4 linked regions of the Coturnix japonica genome follow. The protein of the gene in region 1 interacts with the protein of each later gene in a pairwise test. Links are inferred from orthologs where the notes say so. Each region holds a gene or a part of one and is shown on either strand. Other genes may lie near its edges. The genes, in order: CEP126, NUDT21, YAE1 and HMOX2.

What was found.
Region 2: the proteins of CEP126 (region 1) and NUDT21 interact in a two-hybrid assay, tested with the Homo sapiens proteins (2 studies listed by BioGRID and IntAct). The link is inferred for Coturnix japonica from reciprocal best matches to the Homo sapiens genes CEP126 and NUDT21.
Region 3: the proteins of CEP126 (region 1) and YAE1 interact in a two-hybrid assay, tested with the Homo sapiens proteins (2 studies listed by BioGRID and IntAct). The link is inferred for Coturnix japonica from reciprocal best matches to the Homo sapiens genes CEP126 and YAE1.
Region 4: the proteins of CEP126 (region 1) and HMOX2 interact in a two-hybrid assay, tested with the Homo sapiens proteins (2 studies listed by BioGRID and IntAct). The link is inferred for Coturnix japonica from reciprocal best matches to the Homo sapiens genes CEP126 and HMOX2.

Annotation. Positions count from the first base shown.
Region 1 is NC_029516.1:163,548,814-163,553,462, forward strand, and holds the start of CEP126 (centrosomal protein of 126 kDa), read right to left. Parts: upstream 3,099-4,649; 5' UTR 2,976-3,098; coding exon 2,851-2,975; intron 2,211-2,850; coding exon 2,085-2,210; intron 1-2,084. UniProt on the Homo sapiens protein: Participates in cytokinesis. Necessary for microtubules and mitotic spindle organization. Involved in primary cilium formation.
Region 2 is NC_029526.1:523,061-527,645, forward strand, and holds the start of NUDT21 (cleavage and polyadenylation specificity factor subunit 5), read right to left. Parts: upstream 2,931-4,585; 5' UTR 2,859-2,930; coding exon 2,743-2,858; intron 1,772-2,742; coding exon 1,571-1,771; intron 373-1,570; coding exon 309-372; intron 1-308. Other genes in the region: prolyl 3-hydroxylase OGFOD1, read left to right, coding at 3,084-3,237, 3,321-3,466, 3,926-3,972, 4,039-4,139. UniProt on the Homo sapiens protein: Component of the cleavage factor Im (CFIm) complex that functions as an activator of the pre-mRNA 3'-end cleavage and polyadenylation processing required for the maturation of pre-mRNA into functional mRNAs.
Region 3 is NC_029517.1:76,799,511-76,803,928, forward strand, and holds the start of YAE1 (protein YAE1 homolog), read right to left. Parts: upstream 3,099-4,418; 5' UTR 2,998-3,098; exon of another isoform or gene 2,934-2,997; intron 2,873-2,933; exon of another isoform or gene 2,762-2,872; intron 1,622-2,761; 5' UTR 1,528-1,621; coding exon 1,303-1,527; intron 371-1,302; coding exon 249-370; intron 1-248. UniProt on the Homo sapiens protein: The complex LTO1:YAE1 functions as a target specific adapter that probably recruits apo-ABCE1 to the cytosolic iron-sulfur protein assembly (CIA) complex machinery. May be required for biogenesis of the large ribosomal subunit and initiation of translation.
Region 4 is NC_029529.1:10,968,181-10,972,816, forward strand, and holds the start of HMOX2 (heme oxygenase 2), read right to left. Parts: upstream 2,914-4,636; 5' UTR 2,862-2,913; coding exon 2,815-2,861; intron 2,758-2,814; exon of another isoform or gene 2,651-2,757; intron 886-2,650; coding exon 775-885; intron 1-774. Other genes in the region: structure-specific endonuclease subunit SLX4, read right to left, coding at 4,219-4,555.

The sequences.
Region 1 (4,649 bases):
GCTGGAGGAAACTAACCTTTTTATCCTAGGGGTCAGTACTGGGTCCAGACCTGTTCAACATCTTCACAAATGATCTGGTTGATGGAGAAAAGTGTACTCAAAGCAAGGCTGCAAATGACACTAACCTGGAAGGAGTGGCTGATATGCCAGAGGGTCCTGCTGCCATCCAGAAGGATCTCAGCAGGCTGGAGAAATGGGCTAACAAAAATCTCATGAAGTTTGATAAGAAGTGCAGAGCCCTGCATCTGTGGACAAACAACCCCAGGCAGAAGTATATGCTGGGTTGCATCACGGTGAAAAGGAGAATAGAAGAAAAAGTCCTGGGGGTCCTGCTGAGCACTAAACTGAACGTGAGCCAGAAATGCTCCTCTGCAGCAAAGACCCCTAACAGTGTAGCGTTAGACAGAGTACTGCCAGCAGGGTGAAGGAGGTGATCCTTCTCCTCTACTTGGCATTAGTGAGGTCACACCTGCAGTAAAGTGCTGGACTCTGCAGTACACGAGAGACATGAACATACTGCAGAGAGTTCAGTGGCGTGCCTCCAGGATAATGAGGGGACTGGGGTACCTCTCCTGTGAGGAGAGGCTGAGTGAGTAGGGCCTGTTGAGCCTGTAGATGAGGAGGCTCTGGGGGATGTCATCAATGTGCAGTAATACCTGAAGGGATGGTGCGAAGAGGAAGAGTCAGACTCTTTTTGGTGGTGTCCAGTGCCAGGACAAGAGACAGTGGTCACAAAGTGGAACACAGCAGGGTCCATCTGAACACCAGAAGCACTTCTGTGCTGTGCAGGTGATGGAGCACTGGCATAGGCTGCCCAGAGAGGCTGTGGAGTCTGCTCCTTCCAAAGGCACCTGGATGTGCTCCTGAGCACCCTGCTTCTGAGGCAACCTGAGCAGGGGGTGGATTAGATGGCCTCCAGTGCTCTCTTCCAACCTCAGCCATTCTGCGTGAAGGTTAGAAGTAGCAATAAGACTGCAGGATTTCACACTGTACCCATTTATGCTGCATATGTTGAAAGAAGAAAAATAATGAAAGGAAATTCCAGTTTTGAGAACATAAGGTAGCAGTGCCAAGAATAACTTCTGATGCTTGCCTATAAGCATATAAGCCCTGTCAGAGCATATTTAAGGTGCTGCCAGGTGAGAACTCGAAGCTTAAGGGAGTCACACAGTCCTTGAGAGTCATCATAGCTAGCACCTCCACAGCATGTTACAAAGATAATCGTTCTTGGCTCACAAGCAGATTTGAGACATAGCCACAATGGCTCTTGGTTTGGAATTTGACAGCTGCCTTATTTACATTTAGCAGAATACTTGTCCTCACAGATTTCCATCTGAACCACTTATGATGCTTATTCTCAATTATCACAAATGGAAATAACGTTCTAATTTTTTTAACTGGCTCACCTGGGTAATTTGGCCCTGTATAATACTCCTATATACTGTATAATACTCCTAAGGCCATACTGAAATGAATATGGAAATGTATTTACATATCAGCAAGTGTTAGTTTAGCTATTCCAGTCTGTCAAAAATATGCAGGTTGTCTCTGTTTGCTTTTCCATCAGCAAATAATATTTCAAGACAGGTAACATGATAAATAGTGTTCAGCTGAGATGTGTAGTGTTACAGTGCTGCCGTTCCATAAAACTAAAGAAGATATTTAATCTTTCAGCTGAGGCTTGGTATATTATCTGCAAAGGCTGCGGGTCTTTAATCGCTCCCAAGTGGTACTTCCTCATCCATTTTTCTTTGTGTTCCATAATGTGTGCTGACAGCACAGTATGTCAATCATCTGTGGAGCTAAAACAGCAGTATAAATACTATCTGCTGCCTATAAAGACTGTCTGCAAGGTCAGAGCAACAACGTGTGTATGTGGTCCATCAAAGTAGAACTCAGAATATTGTTCCCTTATAATTTATTTTAGGTTTAGTGAATTTTTTATGCCCAGGTTCAATTCCTCTGGGAAAAGCAGTGAGGCTGCTCAGCAAAGTGAACGTGCACATTGCAGAAACACACTGACCTGTCTCAAACTTCTGTCTCAGCTTTTTCTAACCTCCCACAGAACAGCCCTTGTTACTCACCTCCTTCTTCTATTTGTCTCCATCAAGTACTTCCTTGCTCTGCTCCGATGCAGCCTTTGATCTTCTTTCAGTGCCCAGCGTTCTTCTTCTAAATCCCATCCCAAGGGCACTGCTACAGCTCTGTCCCTGGCTCTGTGTTAAGGACAGTGCTGGCCGTGTCTCAGCAGCTCATGACAGATGCAGAAGCTGCTGAATGGACCTTCATGTGCCTTTGTGAGCAAAGGGCAAACTTTATCCCATCACATTCAAGACACTGATAGACTGTTTGGTGAATTACACAACAGTTGCTCCCAGAGATACGTATTATGGCCATAATTCATTCACTGTTCATCTGGAAAAAAAAAATAATAACGTAGCTACATTTTACTGTTTACAGTAAATTTAACACATCACAGGATCACAAAATTGAATTGGATGGGACACCTAAAGACCACCTGGTCCATCTCCCCTGCAGTGAACACCTACAGCTCCATCAGGTGCTCAGAGCCCTTTCCAGCCTGACCAGTAGTGTCTGCATGGACGGGGCACCACCACTCTGGGCACCCCGTGCCTCTTACCATACAAATGGTGCCCCCTGTGCCCCGTACCATCAAAACCATCAAAAACTAGGGCTGGGAATGTGGGCTGCCACCCTGCCGCACTGTCACAGAGCCGCCCCGCACCCCCGGCCCCACAGGGCCCACCCCGCCGTGTGGCGAGGAGCGGGCGGCCATTCCCGGTCAGGCAGTTCCTGAGGGCGGCGGTTCCGCCGCTCGCGGAAGGATACGCGCTCAGCTCCGCGCCCGCCCCGCGTCCCGCCGAGCGCTGGAGGTGCCGCCTCCACAGCGCAGCGCCGTCCGTCCCGCCGGGCTCCATGGAGCGGCCCGGCTCCTGTGGCCGCACCGCCGCCATCGTAGCAACGGGAGACGCCGCTTCCTTCGCAACGGGGCGGGGCGGCGGGGAGCGGCCGATGGGACGGGCCGAGGGGCGGCGGTTTGCCGGGAGCCGCCTCGGTTGGGCTTCGGAGCGGAGCGGGCGAGCTGTCCCAGTGCCTCACTGCTATTACCACAAAAAACTAAATCTCCTAACTAAGATTCATCTCCTACGTCTAAATCTCGTCTCTTAGTTTGAAACCATTTCCCTTTGTCCCATCAAAAGAGACCCTGATAAAGTGTCTGTCCCCTTATTTCTTTCAGCCCCCCTTTAGATACTGAAAGGCTGCTCTCAGGTCTCCCCAGAGCCTTCTTCAGGCTGAACAGCCCCAGCTCTCAGCCTGTAAATGATACCATAAAAGACTTCACCGAGAAAAGAGTCATGCAAATGGGACTGAATCACAGCTGTAAAACAGCTACCAAATTTGAGCTTATGTCATGCTTAGAAAGAATTTAAACTTCTCAGTCTTACTGTATATTTTTATCTTATCCAGGAAAACTCGTAACTGAATTCTTCTTAAATTCAGTATTAAGAATGGTCTTCAAATCTTTCTTTCTCTCTTCTAACACCTTTTCCTCTTTGTTCTTCTTCACAGCCCCACTCTGTAGCCTCCTCCAGGTCATTAGCTGCTTTTCTTGGTGAATAAGCTGAGCACCATGTACTGCAGAGCTGGATGGTTATTCTAGCAAACAGCTCGATCTCAAATGGTTACAAAATGGAAGATCCCGCTCTGGCAGCTGATTTGGAAGAAGTTTCATAACTTTTAATGTGAGCTGGAGACAGATATTCCAGTAAAGGATAAAGATCAACTTTAAAATCTTTGTGGGACAGACTGAATTTATTACTAATCTGATTTGAAGGCTGGAGCACAGCTATGCTGCTGCAGGAACATTTTTCTTTCCTTCTTGTTCCAGGGGGGATTAATCTGCTAATGCCCTTTAGCTTTCTTCCAGGTTTCATTTTAACTGTGTAGGGGAGGAGTTCAGCCAAGGATCTGCCCATTGTAACCATTCCTTCCTGAAATTTGCCATCCCTTCCTACTTCTGTGTATAGGAAGAGGAGTGAAAACCTTAGTGTCACATATAGTCAGCAAAGAAAACCTTTTCACCTTAACTCCCCAAGACTGTAGCATGGATCGTAACCTGCATCTTTGTAAGCAAGCATCAACTGGTGCACTGGTAACATTCCAGAATTCCTATCTTGGAAGGCTATAAAGTATTCCAGAACAGATTAAACATTTGATTACATTGGATCCCGACTAACAGAAGTTGTTAAAAATGTCACAGAGAACTTCCATGTGAATGCTCCCTTCTGAGGAATGGGCCAGTTAAGGGCACTGACTGCCCTGTAACTACTGATTTTGAAACAAAGCATTGCACTAAAAAATGGAATAATATGTGGATTTAACACTGAATTTATCCCCCACTTGCAACTGCTTTTAAATCTCACTGTAGTAAAGGCAATTTCCAGTGTATGTCAGGTTTGGACAGGGGTGGATGTGAACACAGCACTGAGACCAATGTAGGACGTTGGCTGTCCTTGTTTGAGGCGACACTCAAGAGTTTGTTCTGAAAGTAATTCAGATGTGACATATCCCAGAGGTGTGGAGCAAAATGAGGTTTGGACATAAGCTAAAATTGCTTTCACAACCAA
Region 2 (4,585 bases), on another chromosome or scaffold:
AAAAACAAGTTGTCATCCTCACACTGTGCTCAGCTGTGTATCCTGCTGCACATCTGATGACAGCCCAAAACACAAGTTGCACATGAACACAGGACTCGGGGGGAAGACAGACCACTGGGTTACACTCTCATGAGGATAAGCGAGAGCTTACTGTAATACTTTGTTGTTAGTGACCTGAGAACATTTTACAGCATTAAAATGACAAGTGACGAGGAGACTGCTGCAGTTCTTTGGCTATTCTACTAACTCTAACATCATTCAACATTCCACAACATTCTAGTATTGCGACATAACAAAAGAAAACAGACCTCTGTCATTAAGCGTTTGAGCCCTTCTACCTCATCTTCTCCTGGATTGAGTTCACCACCAGGTCTGTTAAAATAATCAATGATTAAAGCTAGAGTTATGTTTTACAGTGTTAGCAGACTTTCACAGGTAAGTTTGGACACATTTCCATGCTTGCAGCTACAAATTCACTCAAGGTTTTTGCATTTGAGGTTCTAAATCTAACCATGCCCAATCTGAAGACAATAGGGTAGATTTCACCAAGACCATCTCTAATGGCTGCTACGTGCCCCTTAAAAAACAAAACAAAGCAAAACAGGCCAACAATAATAACTTCAGTGGGATGAAGTATAACAATATACATAATAATGATAGAGACACTTAGAAGGTTAAGTTTTAACAATAATAGAAAAGCACTGAAGTTGAAGAAGGGGTTGTAAACACCAGCTGTGCTTGTTCTAATCTCAAAAGCAGTACTTAGTGACGTGTGCAGGAAGCATAAAACTCAAGTGGAGAATTATCCTGCATTTCATGCAAGGATAATGAGAAAAATGAAGATACATTCTCGTCATAGTTGTTTGCAAAGGCAAACAATGTGCCTATTTCATCTACATACATGCCCCATATCAAAAAAGAATCTGGATATAGAGATAATTTTACTCCTCACCTGAGACCAAACACTGCAAATGTTAAAAACATAAAACCAAGAATACAAGGAGAATCACCTGTCCCAAGTCGAACCATTTTAAAATAAGAAAACAAGCGTGACCACCACTATAATCATATGACCAAAACTTCCTTCCAGTTGTGATAACACTGGAATAATTGAAGCACTTCCCTCACAAATTGAGATTCCTGTCCCTCTTATACCCAGCTGACCCAGCAGTTTGTAAATTCATAACCACTACTCATTTCCCAGGGTTTGCCATTTTTGCAGCCGTAGCATAAGTGTATTTAAGCATAACAGCTTGCACAGTGTAAGACCAAACCCTGACTACCAGCAGGGCTTCCAACAGGAACCTACCAGAGTGCAACAAAGATTTCCAGAGACTTTAGAACCAAGGCAACTCTCCACTACCCACGAGTAGAGTCAGATAAATACATTTTAGAGGGAAATTTCATCATTTTAAAAACAGTTCTCACAAACCATGCGCTTGGAACAAATGAATCTCATTAAAAACACCAAGCAGAGTTGGCCACATCTTACTTTGCGATATGTACATTTCAAGAGGTCTGTAATTTTCTGGTTGGACTAAGAAGGTGCTTTCAAGAAGCAGGCACTTACAGCTTGAAAAACGTCGTCCCCAGCTGCAGTAATAACACGTGGGGCAGCCGGTGCTCGTGCACTATCAGAACTCCTTCCACTGTCCGCCTCATGCCAATCTTGTCAAACTCTTCTCTCATGCGCTGGAACCGAGCAGCCACTGAACTGTCCTTCTCATAAAGGGGCTCCTTTGTGCCAAATGTGTAATTGGTGAGAGGATACCTAAAGGGGAAAAAAAGTATTACTACATAATAAGAAAGCTAAATTGACACCTCTAGCACGCAGTGTTCACCCTGCAGCTGAGCCTTCTGTACTCGAGGGAGCAGAAACTCACTCATTGCAAAGGACTACAAGGTCTGGGTTGCATGCTGCACTGCACACCCCATGCCATGCCAAGGGCTGCACCATGGCTCATGAGGGCAGGAAGTCATGCCGGTGGGATACGTTGTCATGGTGCCAACCCAGAAACAGGCAAACACAACCAGAAGCATCTACAGCTACTCTGCAGCCACCTGCTTTGACTCCGCAGCCTGGAGAAAAGGGAGAGGAAGCTCCTCTCTTGTCCCTTTAAGCCTTCACTAAGAGCAGCCCTGCAGAGGTCTTGGGGCTTCTGATGGATGAAAAATGAGACATGAGACAGTGTGCTGCAGCCTGGAAAGGCAAGAGAAAGGCTGCATCAACTGAGGGATGGCAACACGAAGAGAAAAGGGACTGTCCCCTTTGCTCTGTCCTCACGAGACCCCACCTGGAGAATTTGTGTCCCCCAGCATAGGAAGGGTACGGAGCTGTTGTAGCAGGTCCATAGGGAGAGTGATTTTTTACACAGGCAGCGATAAGATGAAGTGAATTAAGACTAAAAGAGGGAACATTCTTTACTCAGCGGCCGCCCAGAGTTCGGGCTGCTCCATCCCCGATGGTGGCCGAGCAGCGGATGGTGCCTGTGCAGCCTTTGATGGCGGGGCCGTGTGTGTCCCCCCGGCTGGTTGTTCCCGCAGCGCTGTGAGGCCCCTTTTCTCCCCGCCGTTCCGGACTCTCACTATTGCTATCACTATCACTATTGCTATCACTATCACTATCACTATCACTATCACTATCACTATCACTGTCACTATCACTATCACGCACCGCTCCCCTCCCGCTCCGACCCCCGAGCGGTTCCAGCCGGTTCCTCCCGCCCCCAGCGCGGCCCTCACAGGTTGATGGTCCTCTCCAAGGTCAGCGGCTTAGTCTGCTGGATGTACTTGTTCCCGAACTGGTTCACCCCGCGGGGCCAGCCGGTCTGCGAGCGGTTGGGCGGCACCACGGACATGGCGGGAGGCGGCGGGAAGTCGATCCGCCATACAACTCCCGGCGGGCCAAGCGGCCCCGCTCTGCCGGAAGCGCCCGCCTTCCACTTCCGACGGCGCCCGCCGCTGAGTCGTCCCTCCTGGCCAATCGTAGGGCGCCCTACCCCTCTCCCCGCCCCCCACGCTCTCTGATTGGCTCGGCACACGCAGGGACGGCTGGGATTGGTAGTTCGGTGTGCGGCGGCGGCATGGGGGCCAAGCGGCGCGGAGCGGCGGGCGGGCGCGGTGTGGAGAAGCGCGGGCGGCGGGAGGTGGAGGCCGAGCTGTGTGCAGCCATCGGTGATGTGGAGCTACGGGAGCGGGCGGCAGCGGCCTGGGACGGCGGGGAGCCGCTCCGGCACGGTACGGGATGGGCCCTAGGGGGGGTCTAGCGGCTTTCATCCTACTGCCGCCTGCCGAACTGACCGCCCGCTTTGTCCCCGCAGAGGCCGTAGCGGTGGAGCGGGCCCCGTTCCGGCACGGCGTGTTGCGCGGCCTCTTGGCCAGCCCGGCATTCGCGGCGGCGCTGGGCGATGAGCTGCTGGGCCTGGGATACAGGGAGAGACGGAACGACCTGCTGACAGTGCACCAGGTGGGACGGGACGGGAGCGGGGCTGAGCGACAGGGAGCACAGAGTGCACTGAGCGACATAGAGCACAGAGTGCACTGAGCGACATAGAGCACAGAGTGCACTGAGCGACATAGAGCACAGAGTGCACTGAGCGACATAGAGCACAGAGTGCGCACTGCCTGCAGCCCGCAGTGCCACAGCAACACCACTCTGGGACACCCCAGCGATGGTTGACACCCCCCCCCTCCCCGTTGAGCTGTGCCGTTGCCTCATTGCTCTTTCAGAGCGCAGATGTTCCCCAATGGCCACCCTGACCCTCTGACAGAACACGAGGCCATCGCTCTCACCTTATCACTGTCCCCTGGGAGCAGAGGCCAACCCCATCCTCACCACAACCTCCTTTTAGGGGTTGCAGAGCCGTGAGGTCTCCTTCAGCACCTTCTTCAATGCTTTTCTCCATCTCTCCCCATGCTGCCGCAGTCCGAGGAGCTGGGGGCCAGGCCGGAGCCCCACGTCAGTGCACTGAGGTAAGGCAGCAGGGTCCACGGGGCAGCACATCCTGGGCCTGCCTCACCCTGTGCTTTGCTCCCCAGGCGGGCGCTGAGCGGGACCCTGCGAGCGTGGCTGGAGGCTGTTACCCACATTGAGCTGGAGCCCTCCATTGACATCTCCTGCGCCAAGTATGAGAGCACAGGTCAGTCTGCCCACCAGCCTCCTGACTCCACATGGCACCACCCAAACCCCGAGTCTGAGAGCAGCGTCCTAGCGCTCCCTCAGCTCTGGAGCTTGGGGCTGAGCCCACCACCCAGTGAACCACAGCCTGTCCCTAACGCCTCCTGACCCTTCCCCATTACTGTGGTCATGCTGCTTGCAGCTGCAGCAGGGCCCAAGGCTGGTATTCCAACCCTGGATGGTGGCTGTTCCATCCAGGCTATCTCACCCCTTGCATGCACGTTGCTATGGCAGGCAAGGAACACTTGTACTGCTTGTAAGTCTTCTATGCAACCAACTGCTCAATGCTCAGGGATTCCCTTTCCCTCCACTGCAGCACAAACATCTTGCAGGGCAGCTGTGTATCAAAAAGCAGACCTTGGTTAATCCACCCACTGTGGTGGGTGACAGGAATTGTATTTCCACATC
Region 3 (4,418 bases), on another chromosome or scaffold:
TCTCCTTATCTGTTATTACCTGCCTGCCTGCATTGCTCATTGGGAGTATAAGCCTTCCTGCACTTGTATTCCCTGTATTCAAAACCTGAGCTAAGACTTCTCATGCTGCTTGCTTCGGATAGACTTATAAAGCACTTTTAAAATTAAAAAATGAACAACAACAAAAACCCAAGCACAACCACATATGCACGTGCATCTTCCACACATACCTTTCACGCGGACAGACTCTTAAGAGGTTTGTAACTTACTTCAGGGTCCCTTTGAATTGACCACACGTAACCATCAGCTCAGCACCTTGTCTATAACCTTGATTGAAGCCTTCCTGAATTGCAAGCTCTTTCCCAGCCTCAACACCATCTCTATAGCCCTCCTATAACAGAAGTGGTAAAACACACTTTTCACAGCCTGCAGAATTGGACCTACAAACACTTCTACAACAATAAAAAACCTTAAGCACTTAGTCTCTTAAATCCAAGTTTTTTTTTTTTTTTTTTTTTTTAATTTGAACACTGCACTCAACTACACCACTGCTAAAGCAAAACACATTTTTTACAGTGCATTATAATTTACTGTTAATGCTGCTGATCTGTTAACATGCAGTTCATTTCTAAACAAACCTCCAGCTAAGTCAGAAAATAAAGACTTGTCTACAGGAAAGCACTTTTACTTTTGTGCTGACCAACTCCCTTAACAAAGTTTCCTTGGAGAATTGAAATTTATTTCTTTCTCCTCTAATCACATTACCATACATTTATGTTCTTCACCCACAAGATAAGCCCTAGTGGGCCCAGTTTGAATGAAAACATCTGTCAGAGAAACCCAAGTTTATGTATTTGTTTTGTTCTCTGCTTTCATAAAATGTATTTTTCACTAAGATAATAAATAAGCCAAAAAACTACTCAGACCTGAAGTAGTTCACACCAAATATTAAAAAAACAAACAAACAAACCCAACAAAAAAACACCAACAAATATCCTCTATTCTTTGTTAGCATCAATTAACCTACAAGTATGAAGCAAGTAGGTTACATGAGAATTTAGCACTGCCATTCAGAAATGCACATAGTTGTGTAGAGGGAGTCAACATCTTTTTTGGTAAAACATTACTTTGTCCTGACAGGCTACTGAAGATAGTAACTTCCTCTTAAATTTTTTTTAACACTCAGAAGAAACCAAGCCACAATAACTTTCATACAGCCATTCTTAGTTTTCTCATTTAAATCAGCCATATTTTTAGCAAGATATGTTACTGGTAAACCTAAAATATTTTAAAAGACTATAAAAATCATGCTTAGAGAAATACCTTCAATCTTTTTTTCATGGTGTTATTCCATTCTTTCTGTACTGGATACATCTCATCTGCATCTTCATCAAATATGTCCTCATTGGATCGACTAGCTACAACTTGTACCCAGGACATAGCAGCAGTGATGACACTTAACTTTTGTTTATGGCCTAAAGCAAATACTGAGAAACTCTCAGAAGTCTCCCAGCTAAGTGTCAGATTAGAAATAAAAGTAAAAAACATGAGTTCTGAAGAGAAGCCGTATCAGGGGATGATTATTCAACCTGTACATTCATTTCCATGTGAAAACTGGATGCTATTCCTCACTGGAGCTCATCTGTCAAAGGAGACAGAAATTATTACCAGTAAAGCACCTTGTGTGATTTACAAGGACAACTTAAGACTAATTTCTTCCCTTCTTTGCTTCTTATGTCAGCAACAAACAGAAGTGCACCAAATTAGCATTTCTATATGTTGCTAGTAACTTGAACAGCAGACAGAAACACTTATCCAGAGCTATAAAATTTTGATAGCAGCCAACAAATAGTCCCATGCAGCTTCTAAGCAGTGCATTAAATTATATGCATATCTAATTGCCTGCAATATTGTGATCTTGACAACTGATGATGAGTTGCACCTTTGATCTTCAGTTTCCTAACTCTGCCAGATGCTTAATGCTTGTAAATCCTGAATAAAAATATTACTTTTTTTTTTTTTTTTTTTAATAATTAGTTAGCAAGTTCTGATGTAAAGAGATGAATAAATAATGTGATTACTTCATCTTAGGAACTGATAAGACCTTAAGAGGCCATTCACAGTTAACTGGAGCAAATTCTTACAACCCACAGAATGGTGGATACAAGGAAGTGTGGTGAAATCACGCTTCTGGGTTCATCATATCCAATTTTTATCTTAAGCAAATCTTCCAGAATTTCCAGTACCATTACACAGAGTCTTTTGGAAAGCATTAAAGCAGTTAAACAACTGGTCCAAGAACTGCAGTTCTTCTTATACACAAAGTTCACTAATGTGAACTGACTGCTTAATCAGCTTATCCCTCCCAATGTCCAATCAAAAAGTGGTGAAAACATCCAAGTAAATACAACTTTACAACAGTACCTCAGGCTTGAGAGATTATTTTTCAAGATATTCAGCAAGACAGCACTTGCTACCAGATGTTATATTTCCTTAAACCATCTCTATTAAGTGACAGCTTATTAGCTCCAAAGTGAGTTTCACAAATAGCCCCTACACAAAGAGCAGAGAAGGGAGAACAAAATGCAGCAATTAATGGTGTAAGGTAGCAGGTGCGGGAAGGAAGAAACTGTTCGGTATGTCATAAGAAAAGTGAGCTGGATAGATGAGAGAGCTGTACACCTGGTTCTCTATGATAAGATTTCAGAGTGATACTGACTGCAGAAGATACCAACAGCATTTAAGGCCCGCAATCCCCCAATGCCAGCACGTCCCGGCACACCTGGAGACCAGCAGGAGGAACCTGAGGGCCCTACGGGAGGAGGCACAGCCTGGCCCGGGGGACTCCAGGCAGAGGCCCCTCGGCCAGGCCACAACCCGCCATTTCACAGCCCGGGCTGGCGCCGCAGCTCCCCACAAACTGCAGGACCGAGAAGATCTATCCCTCTTCCGACCTGTCGGCAGCCAGAATCCCCCCTCGCCGGCGCCATCTGAGTCCCCGCCGCCCTCAGCCCTCACCACGGCCGCCGAGTCACGGCGCTGTTCCGCTCGCAGGGGGCCGCCATCTTGACTGAGGGCACGCTAACTTCGCTGCCCCGGATGCGGCCCGTAAAAAGCCGCCATCTTAATCAGCAGCACCGTGACTTCCAAGTCCGTCTGAGTCACAGGACGCCGGCAGCCATCTTGAGTAAGGGCATAGACTTACAGCTTCCGCAAGGAGGCGGGCCGGGGAGGGAGGACCTTGCCCCATGGAGGGAGTGCGAGCGTGGTTGTAATGGCAGGACTGAATGTGGGTGCTCCTGCTCGGGGCTGCTGCACCGGCCCTACTTCTTGCTTATCACCTTATTCTTTACCCTCAGCTGCTTGATATTCTAGGAAAGGTGTATAAGTCATACCTCAGAGTCAGTGTGAGTTTCCCATATTCAGATTATCTCAGTTTAAATGCCTTAATTTTACCATGGTTGATAATTCTACACACGTCTGTTTAGGACAAATCCTTGTGCATATGAGGAATAATGATGAAGGCTCATATTCCCATCCCTTTCTTTTAGAAGCAGATAATTTAGTGACTCATATTGTGTAAACAGAGCAGCACTATTGGATTATGAAGTGTACTTGCTGAAGACAAGTTAATTGTATGCTGACGGCCTTGACATGACTACTAGCAGGGCTTGAGAGTGAGGTGTAGTGCCTCAGAGTGGGGGCGTTTTCCTAACCTGTGTGTGTTCTACATAAAGCAACATCTGGGTATTATGGTGATGTTTTGCAATGACACATACCAGAGGATTAAAACACATGAACAATATTTCACAGGCTACAGAACTGTTCTGGCATTTCTGCAGAATATGTATATAAGAAGAGTTATCCCCCCCCCACAGTGTGAAAAATAAACAAGGAATTGATTTGTGATTCATTGCCATTTCTAATATTAAAATCTGGATAATTTCAGTCAGATATCTGGCATACAAAGGTACCTTAGAACCATAAATGCTTGGCTCAGCAGTTACTCTCTGCTCACCTGGAGGGTGTGGGGGGGAGTTTTCAGGGGGCCATTACACAATTGTGCAGAGCTTAGGATTGTTAAGGCATTCTTGGAGATGACTAGGAATTGTGTTTCCCGGTGGCGCAGTGGTAGAAATGCCGCGTTGCAACAGCTTAGGGTTGGGTTCGAATCCCCCCTGTGGCGCAAGTGGTAGAACTGCCGCTCTGCTACACAGAGGCCCGAATCCCGGGGGGTTGGACTCGGTGATCTTTTAGGTCCCTTCCAACCCGCACGAGACTATGAGACTATGAAGGATTTTTATCAGTTTGATCTTAGTGTTAAGTGCTGCCATTAAGCAGTCAGCCAGCAGAGATATCCAAAAGTAAAGTATATGAATGTAAAAACCTTTACAGTTATAACTGTGCATAATGCTTCTGATAAAGGATTGCTGCCATTC
Region 4 (4,636 bases), on another chromosome or scaffold:
AAAATAGGGCATGAACACTCTTAAAGGGAAAAAAACAAAAACAAAAACCATGTATTTCTCCTGAATTCTGCTGGTTCTGCATGTTTCCACAAGCTCTCCTTCTAAAAACTTATTATCTTGGATCACAGCTACTGCACTTACCTGGAATTCAGTACAGGTATCAACACCTACACCCACAAAATTATGCCACAGTGCACCTAACCCTGTTTTTATGGCTGGTTTGCAACAGGTAACATGTTTATATCAGCTGTAAAAAAGATGTTTTGAATGCTCCATACTCATGCATTTAACAGGCTGAACACAACAGGAAAGCCAGGGAGTGGTAACCTCCATGAAGCTGAGCCTGTCAAGTCAAAGAGCAATCAGCTCACTTCAGTATTCTGGAACCACCCAACTCACCATTCTCATATAAGGAAAATTTTCCCTATAAAACACAGTTTAGAGAGCAGCTGCACTGTGTATAACAGCACACAGCTATTTGTTGTTTGGAGGGATAACCAACCATTCTGTTCAGACCTTTGAAGAAGTTCTGCAGAACTTGCTCTGCGTACATCACCTTACAGGAACAGCCTCTGTTCCTTTGCAGCCTTTGCATTTGTTCCTATGCTGTAGGAACATCTAACCCCAACTGCAGGGCAGCCTCAGTCTTGGCTGGACTGGTTTTCAGCTGGAGAAGACCACGTATGAACAAGGAGATCACTGAACTTGAGCTTGATATGCCCTGCCCAAACCCAGCTCTGTGCCACGTTACCAGACAGTGCCAGCAGCACCCACCTGACATTGTCATCTTCCACATCCTCATAGCGTAAGCTTTCCCCTTCATCTCCTCCTTCTGAGCTCTCCATAACTGACGGCATTGCTGGTTTGTTCTGGAGATCAGAGACTCTGAAAGGCAAAATTAGAGAGGGATTTTAGAGGGAAGCTGCCTTAACAAGAGCAATGGGGAAGAAACACAGAGCAGACCAACAGGGAGCCCTGCAGCTGCACCACCATGCAGGGTGGTGAGGGGCAGCCACCTGATGTTTTTATAGAAGCCTTCCCTGCAACAGAGCAGATAACATTCCAAAACAGAGGTAGATTTTCTTTCTCATACGATATAACAGCACACACAAGAAGTACCCAGAGCCAGGAGCAAGACACTTGGCTTACACCAGCTGAATACTCTGGCTTGGCCATAAATCCAGGCATCCCATTTATAAAATGGAGCTGTAATCAGCTTTGTGCTGATTACTCCCCCAAATTACAGGCAGCCTTGGCAGATGAGCAAGGAGCTAAGCTTCCTGCTGGCTCTTCAGCAAACCATGGCTGTAAAGGAGCCGGCTCCCCTCCCAGTGCTGGGTTCAGGCCTCCCTGGTAGGCTGCATCTGGGGACAGGAGGAGAGCAGATCAGACAAGCAGTTGAGAGCAGGCCAAGCAAGTTCATACAGAGCATGAGCTGGCAGAACAGTCAGTGGCTCCACACTCATGAGATGCAAAAGCAAAGGATGCTAGTTATAAATTAACCACCCTCCAGTTCCTCACCTACTTCTAAACCTCTCAGGAGCCCTGGACACCCTGCAGAGCTCTGTCCCACGATGCAGCTGCTGGTCAAAGCGATGCTCACTTGGAGCACTCCACTCCTCTGAGAGAGGCAGTGACCTACACATACAGAGCTCCCAGCAGCTGCCTGCTTGTGCTTCATGGGCTGGAGCACTGCTGCATTTGCTATGAGGCTCCTGGCTGACATTCAGAGTAAACACAGTCACCAGCAGCCTGCCTGGGAGGGATCCAGCAGCCACAGGAGTCAGGACAGCAGGGCTGGAGAAGATTTGGTATAGAACAGCTCAGCTCCAAATATTTCTTTCCCAATAACAGCACTCGGCCCCTCCTATAAAATACCTCCATCTCATCCAGCCAGCAGTTTGTTTTCCCCCTACACAGCAAGCTTCACACTCAACATGCACAGCTATTGCTCTCAGTGCAGGCAGAATAAATAATTCTATGCCTTCTAAAGGAATCCAAGAGACACTGCTGCAGTAAGGAAACAAGAGTGGAAGTCCTGGCTTTGCTTGGGCACTCTCATGAGTTCAGTAACTGACAGGACAAGCACTCGACACAGAGTTCATCTCTGCTATTCAACCAGCACACAGCTCCAAGGCATTCCCCAAACACACACGGCTGAGCTCCTTGCTTTAAAGCATCTCTGAAGGGGAAGGCAGACCCCAGAGATGGGATCTTTGATTGAGGTCATGACCAAGGAGCCCACAGAACAAATGGCTGCGTTACCAGATCCCACCTGGATTTAAGGCTCCACCTGGATTTAAGCCACGCTCCAAGCCCAATCAAACACTGTTTATCTCCCAGAGCTGCAGCCCAGCACATCAACGACTGAGGAATGAAGCACCTATAGAGAGCACAGCTCACTTGTCCAGCCCTGCCTTCAGGGGTTATGTTCTCCTATGGGCTGTGAGGGCAGCGCAGTGACACACACAGACATTAGAGCAGCCCGGAGCATCCTCGCACCCCGCAGCTCCCAGCGCTGAGGCTGATGGAGGTAACACAGGATGGACACGGGGAGGCCCAAACAAGGCCCCGACCCACCCCCACCCTCAGCACCAGGCCGCAACCAGCCCACCCAGCGGGCCCAGCACCCACCGGGCCCAGCACCCACCGGGCAGCGCTAGGAAGGACCAGACAGACACCTCGACCACCCCAGGACAAGCCCAAGGCCTCAGCAAGGCCTCAGCCCTATTGCGGCCCAGCAGCCCGGCCCGCCGCCACCTCAGCGCGACCCCGGCCCGGCCTTGTTGCCATGGAGACGCGGCGCACACTCACCCGCCGCCCGCTCGGTATGACAAAGGGCCGCAGCTGCCGGGCCGCATTTACCCCGCGGGGAGAGCTGTGATTGGAGGAGAAGGCTGTACGTCACAGCGAGGGGTGGAGCTTCCGCTCTGCCCCGCCTCACCGGCAGCCAATGGGGACACGGGGCGTCACGGCAAGCCCCGCCCCCTCGGTTTGATATTGCGCATGCGCCGACGGCAGCGTGGTCAATCCTTATCACATAGGTCAATCCTTATCACTTCGGTCAATAGCAATACATTTCCATGTCGCCTCTTCACACAGACTATGTGAACTCCACATTGTGCACAGCTCCTCCTGCTCTCATCCAAACCCAACGTTTCTGCTTAGAAACACCCCTAAAAGTCCCTCGGGAGACATCACTTATAGCTTAGTATTATTTCCTTCCGAATTATTTATTGTATATAAATCAAATAAAACCGAGGCAGTGCTGGATCAAACAAAATAATAAAGACGTTCCAAATACATAAATACATTCAAATCAAGCTTTTGCTTCTTTTGATTATTGCGCCTGTTTTGCTGAGTGAGAATCTGCAGACTCAGAGCAAAATCCAAAGGTGTTGTAAAAGTTAATAAATAAGGTGAAATAAGGTGAATATTTAGTGTCCGAGGCTTCCCCAAGAGACCCAGACAGTTTCCAACCAAGGATCGGTTCAGTTTGGAAATGAAACAGGTCCACAAAGATCAGGACATGAGAACTGCTGGAGAGATCCATTGGTCACTACAACATTGTCCTTAAAAAAGCCACTGTTGGGATCACAGGCTACAATGATAAGGTAAAACAGTGCTCAGAAAACGGAGCTGGTAATGTCTTTAGCACCAATGTCTGCATGTAAGTGAACACACGCAACTGAACGTACAAACCTTAATGGCTTCTACCTGACATCTGGTGTCACAGAGCACTTCGGGGAGCCACCACAAATAGAGCAGAAAAACACCTGCACTGTGCTGCAGCCACTTGTGAAACACACATGGGTTATTGCAGTCAGTACTGGAACATGAAGGGTTCAGGCCAAGGCTGGGGCAAATACCATGGCAAGCACCACTGGAGGAAGCAACCACCTCAGAAGCACCAACAAGAAGAGATGCTGGGGATCTAAAACCTGCTAAAATGGTAAGAGAAGAGAATGCACAGGATGAAACTCAGGGAATGTAAAAAGGCTCCTTGAAAGAGGAGTTTGTGCAGCTCAGAGGAGGGCTGAGAGCTGAAGCTCAGTTCAGATCCATTCTCCAGCGTGTCATCTGGACAGCAGGCCACAAGGAGGAGCAGTGCACCCACTGATCACACCACCTCCGCCAGCACCAGCCTGGAATAGGGTTTCCACCTTAGGAGGAAGGCCTCCATGTAGGAAATTTTCAGGATAGAGGAGTGGGATCTATTCAGTATCGTTTCCTCTTTTTTTTGCTCCCTTTTCTCTTCTGTTCCTTCTCTTTCCGGGCTCCAGCTGTGGTGAAGGTGATGCACTGAGCATCTAAGAAGTCCAGCAGCTTTGCCTTGGAAATCTTAATACCATTCAGTTTCAACTCTGCATGTAGGTCAGCCAGCTCAATAGGTTCATAGAAGAGAATCCTCTCGTACAGGGCTGGGTTTGAGCGGATGTAGCTCCTCACTGCCTCCAGTTTTTCTTCTTCCCGAGCTGCTGCCTGGGACGCTGGAAGTTCTTCTTCCTCCTCTTCAGCTGCAAATGCACAGGCCTCCAATTCCTTCACAAAAGAACTAGAAAGAAGGCCAAGAAGACCCAAAATCAAAGAAAGAACAAGCCGTGAAGGACAGAACCAGATCTCCCTAAGTAGCTGG